3 linked regions of the Drosophila melanogaster genome follow. The protein of the gene in region 1 purifies or fractionates together with the protein of each later gene. This does not show direct contact. Each region holds a gene or a part of one and is shown on either strand. Other genes may lie near its edges. The genes, in order: Nph, Hmr and ProtA.

Evidence for each region.
Region 2: the proteins of Nph (region 1) and Hmr purify together in Drosophila melanogaster (affinity purification with western blotting, with the first as the bait; one study listed by BioGRID). This does not show direct contact.
Region 3: the proteins of Nph (region 1) and ProtA purify together in Drosophila melanogaster (affinity purification with western blotting; 2 studies listed by BioGRID, with this or other methods). This does not show direct contact.

The regions. Positions count from the first base shown.
Region 1 is NT_033777.3:30,003,061-30,006,530, forward strand, and holds Nph (nucleophosmin), read right to left. Parts: upstream 1,802-3,470; 5' UTR 1,544-1,801; coding exon 1,522-1,543; intron 1,390-1,521; coding exon 1,244-1,389; intron 1,098-1,243; coding exon 930-1,097; intron 845-929; coding exon 710-844; 3' UTR 621-709; downstream 1-620. Other genes in the region: tace, read left to right, coding at 13-118, 192-354, 420-462; Nlp (nucleoplasmin), read left to right, coding at 1,974-1,995, 2,228-2,361; CG7912 (uncharacterized protein), read right to left, coding at 2,997-3,206, 3,277-3,459.
Region 2 is NC_004354.4:10,590,315-10,597,387, forward strand, and holds Hmr (hybrid male rescue), read right to left. Parts: upstream 5,542-7,073; 5' UTR 5,279-5,541; coding exon 5,230-5,278; intron 5,164-5,229; coding exon 2,398-5,163; intron 2,340-2,397; coding exon 1,998-2,339; intron 1,939-1,997; coding exon 1,243-1,938; intron 1,186-1,242; coding exon 797-1,185; 3' UTR 606-796; downstream 1-605. Other genes in the region: CG2124 (uncharacterized protein), read left to right, coding at 5,936-7,073.
Region 3 is NT_033779.5:14,878,538-14,883,385, forward strand, and holds ProtA (protamine A), read right to left. Parts: upstream 3,116-4,848; 5' UTR 2,974-3,115; intron 1,103-2,973; 5' UTR 1,082-1,102; coding exon 701-1,081; intron 652-700; coding exon 592-651; 3' UTR 513-591; downstream 1-512. Other genes in the region: ProtB (protamine B), read right to left, coding at 3,667-3,720, 3,770-4,150.

The sequences.
Region 1 (3,470 bases):
GATTTCTTTCAGGGCGTATGCGAAAAGACCATACAGGATGTGGTGGAGCGCTTCTGGGACATCATCGAGGAGATAAATGTGGCCAAGACCTTGAGGTTTCTCAAGGACAACATTGTCAGTAAGTATTGCAATCTTAAATATTACATTCTGAAGATCCCCACTAAGCCACACTTGCTCAATCATATTTTCAGTGGCCGTTGTCCTCGTCACTGCAGTCTTTTGGATTCCCATCAGTTGCGTCATATCTTACTTCGACCGCAAGAAGCTGCGCCATGAAATGAAGCTGATTGAGTGGAGCCAGAAACTGGACCTTATACATCCCAGTGACGAGAGGCGTCGAGTGATTCACATACGGTAGGCGCTCAGCCTCCTACTTTATAATTATATACTGATAACCAACCACCAATCTATACTTTCAGAGTGCCACGCCAGAAGATTTCGGTGGCCCGAGCCTGTAATTAGCACAAAAACCCAGTGGGTTCCTTTTGTTTTAATCTTCCGTGAGCATTCTTCTTAAAACTGCCACAATTCGTTTACATTAAGTGACATATTTGAACATACGCAACACAGAATGAATAAAATTCCATATAATATAGACCAAAAACAAAAGGTCATTATAATTGGATGGTTTCTTTACATTATTAAAGTCGTATTGAAGTTTTTATTTTTTTCGGATCATTTAGTTAGCTTACTGGAGTGTAATGTGTTTCTACTTCTTCTTATTACTCTTGCCGTTCGTCTGAGGAGCTGCTTCTTCGTCGAATTCCAGTTCGCTATCCTCCTCCTCGTCCGAATACTCCTCGTAAATCTGACCGTCGTCAAACTCGCCAAAGTTCATCTCGACCTGAGGGTACGGCAATTTGTTAGGAACAGGAACCCAAAGTAGATAGAAAGATAGATAGATGGATGGATGGATGGATGGAGCTCACCTTGCCGCATACGTGTACGGGTCCACTTCCCTGCACCAGTTTGAAGGTCACTGATCCATTGGGGAACTCGACATTTGGTCTTAAGCTACGGGTCTCGCCGACCTTCAACACGGCAATGGGGATCTTCAAGGTTTTCTTCTCGCCATCGTCGTTTATGTTCGTCTCCGCCTGGAAGCGAAACATTAAATTTGTGTGCATTTTATCACTGTATAATTTCCGAGTTTTTCGCGAAATATGATATGAGTTAAATCAGCCATGTCGCCTTTAAATTTACGACCTGCGACGCGGGGCAGATTGCCGGTATCGAGGCTCACCTGTACAACGTTGAATTCGCCGGTCTTCGCTTCTGGGCCGAGGGAAATCTGTTTGATGATGAGCTTGTGCGAGTGGACGATGTACTCCTCGGGTACATCTGGGACCTCGAACTGTGCGATGGCCTCCTTCTCGCTGAGTGTGACACCTGGAAGTGGACGAACGGCGAGAAGGGTTGGATTTCCGACTGCTTTTTGCCGGCTGGAGGGGAGCTGCTCGCAGCGTGGCTATGGGATGGCTATTGGAGCGCTCTTCCAGCCCAAATGGCAATGGTACTCACCATAAAACGACTCGGACTCCATTTGCAGGCCTTGGAACACAGATGTACAGTCAATTAATAAAAGAACCTTTTGTACTCTACACGTGCCCGTAAAACGGCGATGGCTGCAGTTGTGTGAAGCGTTGAGCGGTGCTGTTATCGAAGCGCAGGACTATCGATATTATTCGTTTAATTTGTTGGGAACTTCGCAAGTACTGGTAATGAAGACTTGAAATATTTTTTAATATATTTTACTGTCGCGTTAGCTTGCAACAAACGAATATAGATTGTCACATTCGATTGGACACTACAAGTGGCAGCCCTGCGATTTTGATTCCCAGTCTGACAATCATCGATTTCGGCACCTTACGTCGGCCTGGCAACCCTGCGACAGCTACCATTTTGCAAAAGATTTTGCTCAACACGTGTTCGCCGCTGGTTTTGTGTGGAATTAATATTAAATATTACCTACCATGGCTGAGGAATCATTCTACGGTAATTACAATTTAGCAGTTGCACTCTATAGGCAGCGAAAGGGGGCAAAAGTGGACGCGTAGAAGGCGTATTTACCACCGAAAAGGCGGAGTGTCTGCGAAGCTTGCCGGTGTTTTTGCTCTAAGATTTGCCGCTGGCCAATTTGTGTGTGTCTAGCCTCAAACCCTCGGATTTGAGTGCGCGAATAAGATACGAATCAGAAAGTATAATGGCGACTATATCCCCTCCGCAGGAGTCACTTTGACCGCCGAGAGCGACAGCGTCACGTGGGATGTGGACGAGGACTACGCACGCGGCCAGAAGCTGGTCATCAAACAGATCCTCTTGGGCGCCGAGGCCAAGGAGAACGAGTTCAACGTGGTCGAGGTGAGTACTCCATTCATTGTGTATGCGAAACGGGGCATTCAGTGCATGTAGTAAATCCCATAAATTGTGTATGCGCGCGCCGGTTGGTGTCCTCTTCTTTTTTTCTTTTTCATTTTTTTTTTCGTTGCATTTTTCCGGCCGGCGGGGCAGGGACCGGTTTCCATTTTTCCCCCAGACCAGAACAACCTCGAACTTTTCGCTCGTTGTGGTGGGCTAGGGTAATTGTGTCTGTACATCTGCAAACGGCCGCCGAGTAACCAGCCCCGGACTTTCGATTGCCATGGTACATTACCAATGGGATGTGCTAGGTACATAAATTCTTTTTAGTACAAGGTACTTGCAAAGAAGTACTAGGTACTTTACAACTGTCCCAGTAAATCCAGGGACTTAGGTGTTTTGTATATTGTTAGGAACTTTCGAGAATAACTATCAAAGCACATCTTCTTTAAAGAATATAATTTTTATTATAATAAATATTTTTAATTTGTGCTTTAAAATTTCTCATTAGTTGTACCTAACCATCATTATACCTTAACCATCAAGATCCTCATAGTTTAAGTACCCCACCTTTCCGAACCAAATTCATTGGCGCAACTGTACGCAGATACACATACGGCAAGACAAAAGAGCACTCTTTATTGACTCAAGTCAACGGCGATACACGAATCGGCTGCCTCGGCATCCGCAATTGTTTGCATTAGGTCTGGAAAGCTTTTCGAGAACTTGAACATACTGCGCAGCTTCCTGTCCATCCGGCAAATCACTCCCGCCGCCGGAATACTCCAATTCCAGCAGATCATGTCGCACTTCAGCAGGGCGAGATCTTCGCGCAGTGACTTGAGGTTCTTCGCGAGGAATAGAGAAGAGGTTTCGGGTCAAAGGTCATAGTTTGCAGCAAAGAAAGCTGGCACTCACCAAAGCCACTGTCGTATCAATTGAGGCAATCTCGTGTCCCTTAATGACCACCAGTGTGGTGGGGGCACTTCCCTCGCTGTTTCTTTGCGTCACGTGCGACACAAGCGACATTTTCAAGTACTCGGCTGCCGCGTAGTCCACGCTGCCCTTGAGATCGGCCATGGTCACCTCAATGCCGTTAAACTAGGTTGATT
Region 2 (7,073 bases), on another chromosome or scaffold:
TTTGAATCCAGGTCGATAGGGAATTTTTTACGAATTCAATGAGGTGTGACATTCCACATTTGGACAATTATTTTAATTGCTTTCGAAGAAATTGTGATTTTTTTTTAACAAAAAACTGCAAAAAGGAAAATCTGATATTTTCCTTATAACTTGGCGAAGAAGGTGGTAGAGCCAAAAAGTAACCGTTGTTTACTGTTCGTCATTTCGAAAGAAATGTGGGAGGATTACTAAAATCCTTTAAATAGTATATCGTCAAATAGTTTGGCCATTCCTTTGTCCTAGACAATCATCCCCTGTGTTTTACGTGCGCCTTATTATCTAGCCACTCCTCCAGGAACTTGGCAATCAAATCTTTTCCCAATTGCACGCCCAATTTATTCGGGCTTACTTTCATGTCCTCGGAGAGGCCATACAAGTGGGCGGGGCCGGCTGACCGACATATAATCATGGGGCCTTGCCCTCATCGCTATCATTCTGCGACTTTAAGCGTCTAACAACATTAGATACTGTTTATTATTGCGCAAGTTTCAGTTTGGTATTATACCTATGGTACTCAGGAACTCTTAAAATCTTAAATTTAACAGTCCCAGTGCAAAACATCATATGAAAGTTGACTGTGGCCATTTATTCAAGTTATTCTAGAGGGCTCTTAAAAAAAAAAAAAAAGTTATTGCAATTTCATGCACTTAATAATAAATAAGATGTATTCTGTGGCAATGAAGGGTGTCAATGGTACGGCGAAAGTTCTTACAGAGAATATGTATGACTAAACTACGTGTGCCAAAAGTTTCGAGAGCTAAGGCGGTGGCGGATTGACCTTGGCGTATTTAGAGAACAGCTGCGTCATCTTGCCGAGCAGTGTATCCTGACTGGCCGTGGACAAGTTACCGACGGCGTAGGCCCAATTCTTCACCACGAGATCCGGACTGCAAGTGGACAAATTGATCTCAGGCAGGAACTCCTGCGGGCTAACTTCCTGAGTGTTCTTCGCAAGCGATTCGTTTAACTGGTTGAGCTGCTGTGGCGTGCGGACTGTCAGCTGGGCGTTCGGCTTCACCTGCTTATAGATTTCCGACATGTGGTGCAAGTACTTGTGGCCCATTGTACATTGATTGCTTGGATCGGCGATCTTCAGATTGCGCATCTCGCGCAGAGCGTACTGCAGACCAAGGCGGCATTCGGTCACTGCAAAATATGTACTTTTAATCAAATGTCTAAATTGACATATTTGCAAATGATTACCTGTGGCATGCAACTCCTTTGATACGCGAACCCAGGCGGCTCGCTTGTCCAGAGTGCTCGCCCGCTCGAAGCTGTTTGGTTGGCTACGCAATTTCTTACACAACTCAAACGCCTCAATGGGGGATAGATTGTTACAGGTGACACTTCTCGCTGGGGTCGGCCGCTTTTGGGCGGTGGAGATATTCTTGTCTTTATGAGACTTGACGTTGGCGTTTGACGCTGGCTTGCTTTCGCTTGTCTTTTTGGACACGGAAACGCCATCAGGTACAGGAATAGGTTGGGCATCGGGTGCCAAAGCTAGAGCCGGAGCTGGAGCAATTTGAGTGAGAGTTTCAGTGCTTCTCACGCTATTCAACTTGCCGGTAAGCAAGCGCTTGGCCTCCTCCGTCTCCCATGGCTTGGGTTCTTTGGAAAAGCCCGTTAAAAGTTTGCTCGGTGTAAATTTGGTCTTATCGATATGATCGGAGGACGTTAGAGCCTCGTGCATTTTGCAGCGCTTCACCTCCTCTGACATCCTGTTGTGCACTATATAGTAGTAGGGCTCGAGCGGATGGTAGCGCACATTGACCAGAAACCTGAGTTGCTCCAGTGCCTGCCACCAATTCTGCGGCCAGGGATTATCGATGCCGCGCTCTAAATCATCCAGGTATGTGCGGAAGGCGAACTTAAACATTGACCAAATATCCCGATGATTGACTGCAAAAGAACAGAAAATTACTAATAAATGATTGGCTTATAACATTTATTAAACATACGATTTGGGAATTTAAGGCGGGCCTCCCGCCACACCTCCTGCTTCTCCTGATTCGTCAACTGGGGCGGAGCTTGAGCATCTTCGCCAGGTCGCGGCCTGCGTAAATCGCAGTAGAGGTACTCGTACTTCGCGAAGAAGCGTATTACTTCCGGCAACACGTTCTTGTGATTCAACCACTGGTATTTTAGCGCTATCTCGTCAAATTTGCCAAACAAGCGATTCGATTTTTCCCACACTTTTTCGCTGTACTTAAACGGACGCATCAGTTCCGACATCGGCGCAATTTTTGGAAACACACTCATGTTGGCCGCCAAGAATTTCCAGCATGCGCGCAAAGCTTCCTCTGCAGAACAAAAGAACGTATGAGCCAATGTTTCTAATATATATATAGTTACTCCTACCTGGCATGTGAAACTTCTTGGCGATAAAATGCCAGAACTCAACACACTTGGCCGCCAACTGTGGATCTTCCTTGTGCAGCTGCGGCACAGCCATCACCTCGCGGATCAACGTCGTCGTCCTAATCATATTGAGATTGAAGCGAGTACCCTGATTTCCGCACCAAACTTGCAGTTCATTCCCAGTGGTATCACTCTCGTGCAGACACACGGTTATGTTGCCAAGCGGCAAGTTCTCCGGCTGACTGCCTAGGGTTGCGGATGCGGCTGCAGTTGCTTTTATATCTGACTGCGATGCTGTTGTTGCCTTGGCTACTGTCGGCAATTTGGCTGGTCTGACCACTGGTGCTGATATTGCTGCTCCCACAGCTTTAGCCTGGCTTGCTAATGTGCCCTGTATTGTGGCATATGAGTCAGATGCAGCTTGTGTTGCAGATGTAGGAAATAATGGTGTTTTTCGTATGACTCGAGTTGTTTGTCCAGTGGCGATTGGTGGCGTAGTTACAGGCAGCTCAGTTGCTGGTTCTGTTGCAGGTTTGGCCATCCTGGTTGCTGCTGTAGGTAGTACTGCTACCGGTACGATTGGTTGATATTTTTTGGGGTTTACTAATGTTGTTGCTGGCAATTTGGGCTTTGGTGGTATTATTTTTGCTCTCGCTGGTTCCGCAGTTGCTACAATAGGAGCAGCTGCAGGCGAAGATGTGGTTAATAGTGATCTTATTGGCTTACTGAACGGAGCGCTATTGCTTTTGCCATCCCAAGCGCTTTTCAGTCCCGGCTGGTGTATTCGTACCATTGGAGCCGCAGTGGGTGTTGGCAGATTGCTTTTAGCTGTAATATTCGATGTTGTTATTGGTACAAAATTTGGCAGTGTTTGTTGCGGAGCTGGTGAACGTATTTGCGATGGATTTTGTGGCCTAAGCAGTTCACCCAGTGTCGACATTGGCCCTCCGGATACCCTGTCTTGAGTTTGAGCTGGATTGGTTGGATTCGTTGTTCGAATTACAGTGCGGGGGACTACAGGTGCCATTTGCGGTCTACTGGCCATTTGAGGCTTCGTATGGAGCTTAACCTGTAAGCCAGGACCCTGCGTTATCTGTGGACGCACTTCAGGCGGCTTTGCGTTTGGGCCCGCCATCTGATTGGTGGTGGCGATGGGGGACACGCCCGTTCCCATAGTCGCCGCCGGCTTGGGCAAAATTCGTACGTTGGGCACAAACTTTAGGGGTATCATATATCCCGAGCCCACACTGATGGCGGACGTGATTTTGGGAATCACAAACTTGGGAAGAGCTTGATCGGGCGATACACTCGAACTGACGCTGTTCGTTGCGGCGGCGGCGGTGGATGTGTTGTTAATGACTGGGCCAGAGGACCTCCTAACATTGGTGAAGGTGGGGCCAATGCTTGTGGCAGTGCTTGCACTGTTGGTCATGCTCGTGCTGCTGCCTTTTGAGGTGGACGGATAGACAATAGCCAATGGCATACGTACCGGCACCGGTGTTTTGGCCGGAGGCTCCCCCGCCACTGGTATGGCGCCGTTGGCTGTCCGCTTTAGTGCGGGACGGGCCGTGGAACGAGAGGTAACTGGCGTTAAGGCCAGACCCATGGAGCCCTCAAAGAACCACTTGTCCTGCAGCTGATAGCCGGATGAGCGCACGGCCTGCAATTCGTGGTAAAAGGCGCGCAGCACCAGCCAGGTGACCTCGCAGTGCTCGTGACTACACATCACTTCCATGCCGACCTTCTGCCAGAATTCGTCGTAGCGCGGCGGTTTCACCTTGTTGTGCAGGGAGTCCTCCGTCAGCTGAACTAGTTCTGGCATGTTGCGCATCGTGGTGATCAGCGCCATCACAGTGTGGAAATTCTCAATGGGCTCGTGCCAACCGTTTTGCAGGTACTTGGAAGACTTGCATACGGTGCCGCGCATGCGCTGTACGTGCGGTTCCATGAAGTCCATCAACCGACACAGCTCCGAAGTGCCGATATGACGTGGGCGATGGATTAACTCCCATTCGTAGCGAGTCTGCAGCTTTAGCCAGCACTTCATCAGCTTGGTGGCTTTGTCATGGACTTCGTTTGAAATGGCACTCCAGATTAGAAAGCGATGTCGTGTGTTCTGATAGCCCGTGCACGTGCTATCGTACAGAAGGGGATAGGCACTGACTGCCTCTATGAGGCGACGCTGTAACCTGTTGCAACGGTAGTTATAGGTGGGGTCCTCCTCGACATCCAAATCTATGATGTCCATTGGCGGATTCTCTATGACCTCCACATCGGGCCGGGTTTCGCTCTCATCCACATGCTCTTTTTCAAGAATCTCTGTCGGAATCTTGTCGACAATCAGTGGGAATCTGGCCACATGGGTATACATGAAGCGCATCTCTTCCTCGTATTCCATGCAAGGACGCCAACGCAGGGCCGCCCGATCTTTTTGGATGGCACTGCGATGAAAGTTTCTTAGACGACGAACATGGCGCTGATATTTATATCGCAGCGCCGACCAGGATCTCTTGCAGTTGGTCGCATTCGTTGCCAGGCGGCTGGCGATTTTTTTCCATTGTTTCTCCCTTTGAGCGACGTCGCGGAATTTCGGATGCCGGGCGTCATACAATAGCGGCTGGCGGCGTACCAAAGCGATGAGCAGCCTCTCTGCCCTATAGGTTTGCAGAATGCCGCCATCCCGAGATCCCGGATAAGTGCATCTGCTGAACGGATTTGGGGCCTTATCGTCATCCACGCCATTCGTCTTCTGACCAATTGTGTCAGCTTTGAGGAAAAAAAAAAACGGAAGTTAGTTGAACGGCTGACCAGGTGACCAACTGTCGGACTTACAAACAATTATCTGGCAATCATTTTCAATGGCAACAGGCTCCTCCTCCATGTCCTAGACACCTGATAGCTCCAATCTTGACCTACGCGCGCCTTTCCCCCACACAAGCCGTCGAGAATTCTCGGAACGGAGAAACCGGTGGGCAATCCGATGGAACCACTGCTTCACTCTTCACTCTTTTGTAGCATAAAATCACTCGGAAATAGTTTGGGAACAACTTGCAACTACAGGATTATTAAGTGCAAGCGTATCTACGTAAATATATCTACGTAAATAAGGTTTCTTGCGACGCCAGATAGTCGGCGGTTGCAAACGCAAAATGGTTAAAGAGCGTTATCGACCACGGATACCGTTATCGAAACATTCGATTAATATTTGAGTGTGAAATAGAATTGTATAGCTAAATATTTTTGTTTGTGTTAAGTTAAACAAAAATAAGTTGAAAAAACACGTTACAATTTGTAAAGCTACATTCTAGTAGCTACCCATTTGGATATCAGTGGAGTTATCGATAGCAGCCAAGCGCTGAGAGCAGAATATTTCGTTAAGTTCTCCCACTTGCGAGCACTCCAATTTCTTCGTTCTGGCAACGCTGCTTACCAGTCAGCTGTTTAGCCGGCAGGTTTTTCAACGAATGTTTTCATAACGCGTTTTCCATTCAAATTCAATTGAATTGAATTAATTTACAACCAAATATCGCTCTAAAACATGTGGGCAAGAACAAACTACCTCTGGCGAAGTGTGGGACGTCTGCGCCGCCAAGTATGCACGACGATCGTTTCACCAGCGCGAATATTTGCGGACCGAGAGAATCAGTTCGCCCATGGAATCCTGATGGATTCTCTCAAACCGTATGCAATACTGCGTCCTCGGGACTCCGCCTGGCAGGATTTGCCCGCATCTGAAGGCTTTATGCGGCCACAGCCAGATGCCAGTGCTGCCGATCTCTATGCGGACTTTTTAGGCCTGGTGAGGCACTGTAATCGCATGGAACTGAAGATCAGCGATAGCCGCTACGAAGCCTTTACCCGCTGCTTCTGTGAGCAGCTGCATCGCCTTACGGATGAACAACTTCTTGGATCGCTTAGTGCCTTGGCCGAGCTGCCCGTACCGGAATCGCCCAAAGCCAAGAACTACATGGAGATATGGAATACCCTGGACATCGAGTGCTGTCGCCGCATCGAGCGATGGTCCAGTGAACAATTGCTACTCGTGAGCGATGCCTGGTATCGTCTTGGTCTGGTCAGGATAGGCGAGTACGTGTGGCTGGCGCTGAAAAAGCTCGGCCGCAAGCTGCGAAAGCTGCCGCCAGAACAGCTCGTTCACTCCATGTTCCTGTGCAATCTACTGCGCCGACCCGTCTTCGAGATGTTCGATTTCGAGTTGAATCTGGCCCGCTGCGTGGATCAAATGACGCTGTCCGAATTGGGCGTAATGGCCATGGGCTTCTTTAAGACACAGACGCCTATCAGAAATCCGGAGCTGCTAACGCAACTCTATCAGCGATTAGGCAGCGAGCTGGACACCGTGGAAGACATTGTCCTGGTAGCGCTGCTCAAGGTGCTGCGGTACAGCAGCAAGCTGCCACAAGTGGAGCCGCTAAAGAAGATGTTAAGCGCTCTAGAGTCGCAAGTGGATCGCGTTTCCCTCCTCACGTGCCTGCACATGGCTCTTCTGGGCTGTGAACTGCAAACGTGCAATGATGCACTGGTGGAGCGCATACTGCTGAGATTCGAGCGTGAGTTAGAGACTGCCCGCCTCAAGGATATGGAGCGAATTTGTCTGGTAATGGCCCTTTTCAATATTACAACTAAGTCGGGAGTGGAACGCCGGTTGGCGGAGAGAT
Region 3 (4,848 bases), on another chromosome or scaffold:
AATTTATGCGAGCCTTGGGAATTGTTTCGAAAATTGACAAATTATGGTCGTAAGTGCTGCGATTAGTCCGTTCCGTTCCATTCGCCTTTTCGTTTGCTATTTTTGCCAACTGTCCCAAGGTTGTCTTCCCAAAACCACAATGTGCATTACATTTACTCACAGAACAGTTGCAGAAACGGGTTTATGGCATCCATAACATTGCGGGCACTGCGTGTTATTAATAATTCAATTTAGCTGTCTCAGAACAGACGACGGGTCAGAGAACTCTGGAAAGCTTGAAGCACACGCAACTCCTCCTATACCTTCGAATTCCCAATGCCGTGCCCATTTACCGCTCAGCCTTAGCAGTTTTCCCGTTCCATTTCCTCGGATCACAGCTCATTATCTATTCATGCAAAAGCTCATATAGTGGAATAATAAATTGAAATTCGACGGGCACCTGGAAACAACCACAAATACCCATTCGCGCTATTCCAACATCCTAGAATCGTAATAAAAAGTACACGATTTTTAATTGGTTTTTATTTCTAAATTCATCGAATGTTAGGAAAGGATATGCCTGGACTTAACTGCATCAGACTTTTTCCTATCTCAGTATTGCTGGCAAATCCGTCGGCGCTTGTGGCGTTCACTGGTGGTGACCTTGCATGCCTGAAAGGACACCAATGAATAGTCTTCATAACATAAAAAATATACGTACCATCCGGCGGTATCGATCCTTTCTATTCTCCGAGAGCCTGGCCCACGCTTTAGCGGCCTTTGCAATTAATTCCCGCGGTTTCAAGTTACAGTGCTTCTTTCGGAAGGAACGCACAAAATTCAAATAGGCGTTGTTAGTGACAGGTCCCTGCTTGCTGCACTTCTGCCTCGGTGCACACTTGACCTTGGGCCGAGTCGCCTTGGCACAGGCTGCCTTTCGGCGCGGCTTTGCACAGGACTTCATTGGCTTACATTTTTGAGGTGCTCTCCTTATTGGATGATTACACATTTCAGTGAGACCTTTAGGACTTTCATCTTTTGCAGAAATGGAAATTATGCCATTCCACAGGCTCTTGCACTCATTTACATTATTTGAACTCATCGTAGAAAATTTTTACAAACTCTGAAAAGAAAAGGAAAGGGAAGTTTTATATGGGATTTATTTGTTGTGTACGATGTCAGCCATCAACTGTGATGGAGTATGTTCCCCCCGCATGTGAGTGTTGGCCCCAGAAGCCGCAGAGTTGCGTCCTAGAGAAGTCACTTAATCAGTGAGCAACCCGAGTCTCAAACCAGAAGTAAAGCCCAAGCCCTACCGACCAGGATGAAGATCTGAACAGCAGGAGACAAGCGGTTGCAACTGCAACAAAGCCCATAATTAATAACAGTTGCAAGCTGCCTCCCGACAACCGACGTTTAGTCACCATGTGTGGGAGCCTAAGTGGCGGTTCTTAGCCAAGACCAATGAGTATTAAGAACTGGTTATATAATTGTCATGGAAATCTACAGTAGTTTGTAATGAAAATTAGTACCCGACAGCAAATGGGCAGTGGTAAATAATTAATAGAAGGACTCTCCAAGGATAAAAAAGCTAAACCAATATCTGTATAATTCAAGATTACTGAAGTTTCCTCAAATCCGAGCAATTTATTTGCCACCCACAGCTGATATTTTGGGCTTGACAAATATTAATTCGAAATATTAATTTGAAATCGTTATGGATGTGTACAAATTACAATTTGTGACCAGCTGTGCCATCGCACCACACTGCCTGCATTGTCTATCAAACCCCACTGAACACCCAGTTGGAATACAAAATTCGCTTTAGCTAGAGAGCTTCATTGAAGGCCCAATATGCTCCTTTTGGCTCTTCGAACTTAAAATTATCTTGTGGATCAATATAAAAAAAAACAGCACGAGTTGAATGGATATTATTGGGGCTTCGCCGGGAGGAAGTTATCTTCAAAGCTATTTTTCTTCAATGAAAGGAAGCCTTGATTGATTAAGTGCTAAACTAGATTTAAAAGCCAACGAGGGCAGGTAAAACTAAGTAGGAACCGACAGGAGCTGAGGGCGTCGAGTGATTATCATTAGCCGCCAGAGTAGTTGCCATTTAGCACGCACAACGAGATGAGTGCCAGCAACATCAGCAGCAGATGCAACAATGTTTGAGTAATTGTTTGCCGTTGCTGCAGCGTCAACAGCAGCACAAGCAGCAGCACAAGCAGCAGCAACTGCAGATGCAACAAAATTTGCATGCAAGCACAAGTCCCTACTCACCACCCCTTAGCCCAAAACCCCACTCATTGCCCCATTTGGCTGCACACGTAACTGAACGGTGGCAACAACTGCAGCAGTAATTGCAACAAACAATTAGCGTCACTTGGATTTATGTTTACGAGCGGCTGCCTGGACATTTTCGGCCACAATGACAGTGTGCCCCCTGTCTACTGCCCTTTTATGGTTGTCAACGAGCAAAAAGTTGATCAATCAGGACGTGTAATTTATTTACAATTTCACTCTGACAACGAAAGAAAGAACTAAGAGTTTCTCTTCACATTAACTCGATCTTTCTTTCGGCCGAACCGCGTGAACCGCTATGATTTATTTAATTGCCCGCGCTTGCTGCCAGTGTTGTTGCAGCATGTAAATGACGTCATTACAAGGCGTGGGGCGTGGCAAGGTGGTTGCCTGTCGACAGACTACCCCCGGCATTAGTTTAAAGCCAGATAGGAGGGCCACATCCATCCGATATCGAGGCAAACACGCCACGTCGACAGTCGACATTAATTTAATCGCATCACAATGCATTTACAGAACTGAATTTCACAAAAGCTTCTTTAAAAGAAATTTTTGAAAGTAAAATTTTTTCAAATGAAGTTTATCGAAACTGATTGGCATACCAATAAAAAATAATTATGCGCTTCGTTTAAAATAATTTGTATGGTATGTTGTTCTGTAAAAATAAATTGTAATTCGTTTTATTTCACTTACCTTTATAAAGTTTTTTTTTTTAAACCAAATTTTTGTCACAACTAATTTTTAAGAAGAGCATAAAAATAAGACTTTTGGAAAAATTTTGCTTGTGAACTGTTTGTGTACCAAGTTACAACTAATGTTTAAAAAAACCGACTGCCCGGTATAAGGGGTATACGGCAAAACCTACGCCAACTATATGGAATAAAGTTAGATTTGATCGAAACGACGCCGGCGGATACGCATCCTGGGAAACATCCTTCTGTTAGGTGGTTACGCCCCCATGTTTCCCTTTGCCAGTGGCAGTGTGGCAAGTTTTCCTCATAGGTGGCATAAATTATGTGAAACAATTTTTGGGTATTTCGATTGTCTCACAACAGACGCCTGGTCAGAGAACTGTGGAAAAGCTTGAAGCAGAAGCCTATCCATATCTTCGAATTCACCATTGCCGTGCCCATTTACCACTCAGCCGTTTCATTTCTTTGGATCACAGCTCATTAGAAAGCTCATATAGTGGAATAATAAATTGAATTTCGCCGGGCACCTGGAACAACCACAAATACCCATTCGCGCTATTCCAACATCCTAGAATCGTAAAAAAAATGAAACCCGGTTTTTAATTTTTTTTATTTCTAAATTCATCGAATGGTATCAAATCAATGAAAATATATGCCTGGACTTAACTGCATCAGACTTTTTCCTATCTCAGTATTACTTGCAAATCCGTCGGCGCTTGTGGCGTTCACTGGTGGTGACCTTGCATGCCTGAAAGGACAAATTAATAGTCTTCATAATATAAAAAAAAAATACGTACCATCCGGCGGTATCTATCCTTTCTATGCTCCGGGAGCTCGGCCCACGCTTTAGCGGCCTCTGCAATTAATTCCTGCGGCTTCAAGTCACAGTGCTTCTTTCGGAAGAAACGCACGAAATTCAAATAGGCGTTGTTAGTGACAGGTCCCTGCTTGCTGCACTTCTGACTCGGTGCACACTTGACCTTGGGCCGAGTCGCCTTGGCACAGGCTGCCTTTCGGCGCGGCTTTGCACAGGACTTCATTGGCTTACATTTGGGCGGTGCTCTCCTCTTTGGATGATTACACATTTCAGTGAGACCTTTAGGACTTTCATCTTTTGCAGAAATGGAAATTATGCCATTCCACAGGCTCTTGCACTCATTTACATTATTTGAACTCATCGTAGAAAATTTTTACAAACTCTGAAAAGAAAAGGAAAGGGAAGTTTTATATGGGATTTATTTGTTGTGTACGATGTCAGCCATCAACTGTGATGGAGTATGTTCCCCCCGCATGTGAGTGTTGGCCCCAGAAGCCGCAGAGTTGCGTCCTAGAGAAGTCACTTATTCAGTGAGCAATCCGAGTCTCAAACCAAAAGTAAAGCCCAAGCCCTACCGACCAGGATGAAGACCTGAACAGCAGGAGACAAGCGGTTGCAACTGCAACAAAGCCCATAATTAATAACAGTTGCAATCTGATTCCCGACGTTGTTTTGTAACGAACAAAAAGTTGATCAATCAGGACGTGTAATTTATTTACAATTTCACTCTGACAACGAAAGAAAGAACTAAGAGTTTCTCTTTAGATTAACTGGATCTTTCTTTCGGCCGAACCGCGTGAACCGCTATGATTTATTTAATTGCCCGCGCTTGCTGCCAGTGTTGTTGCAGCATGTAAATAACGTCATTACAAGGCGTGGGGCGTGGCAAGGTGGTTGCCTGTCGACAGACTGCCCCGGCATTAGTTTAAAGCCAGATAGGAGGGCCACATCCATCCGACATCGAGACAAACACGCCGGCCGCCAAAAAGGCGTGGCCGCCGAATTTCCGCTTTGACTTGCAACACTTTGGTGCAACACGCCCCATAACCTTGCAGTCGA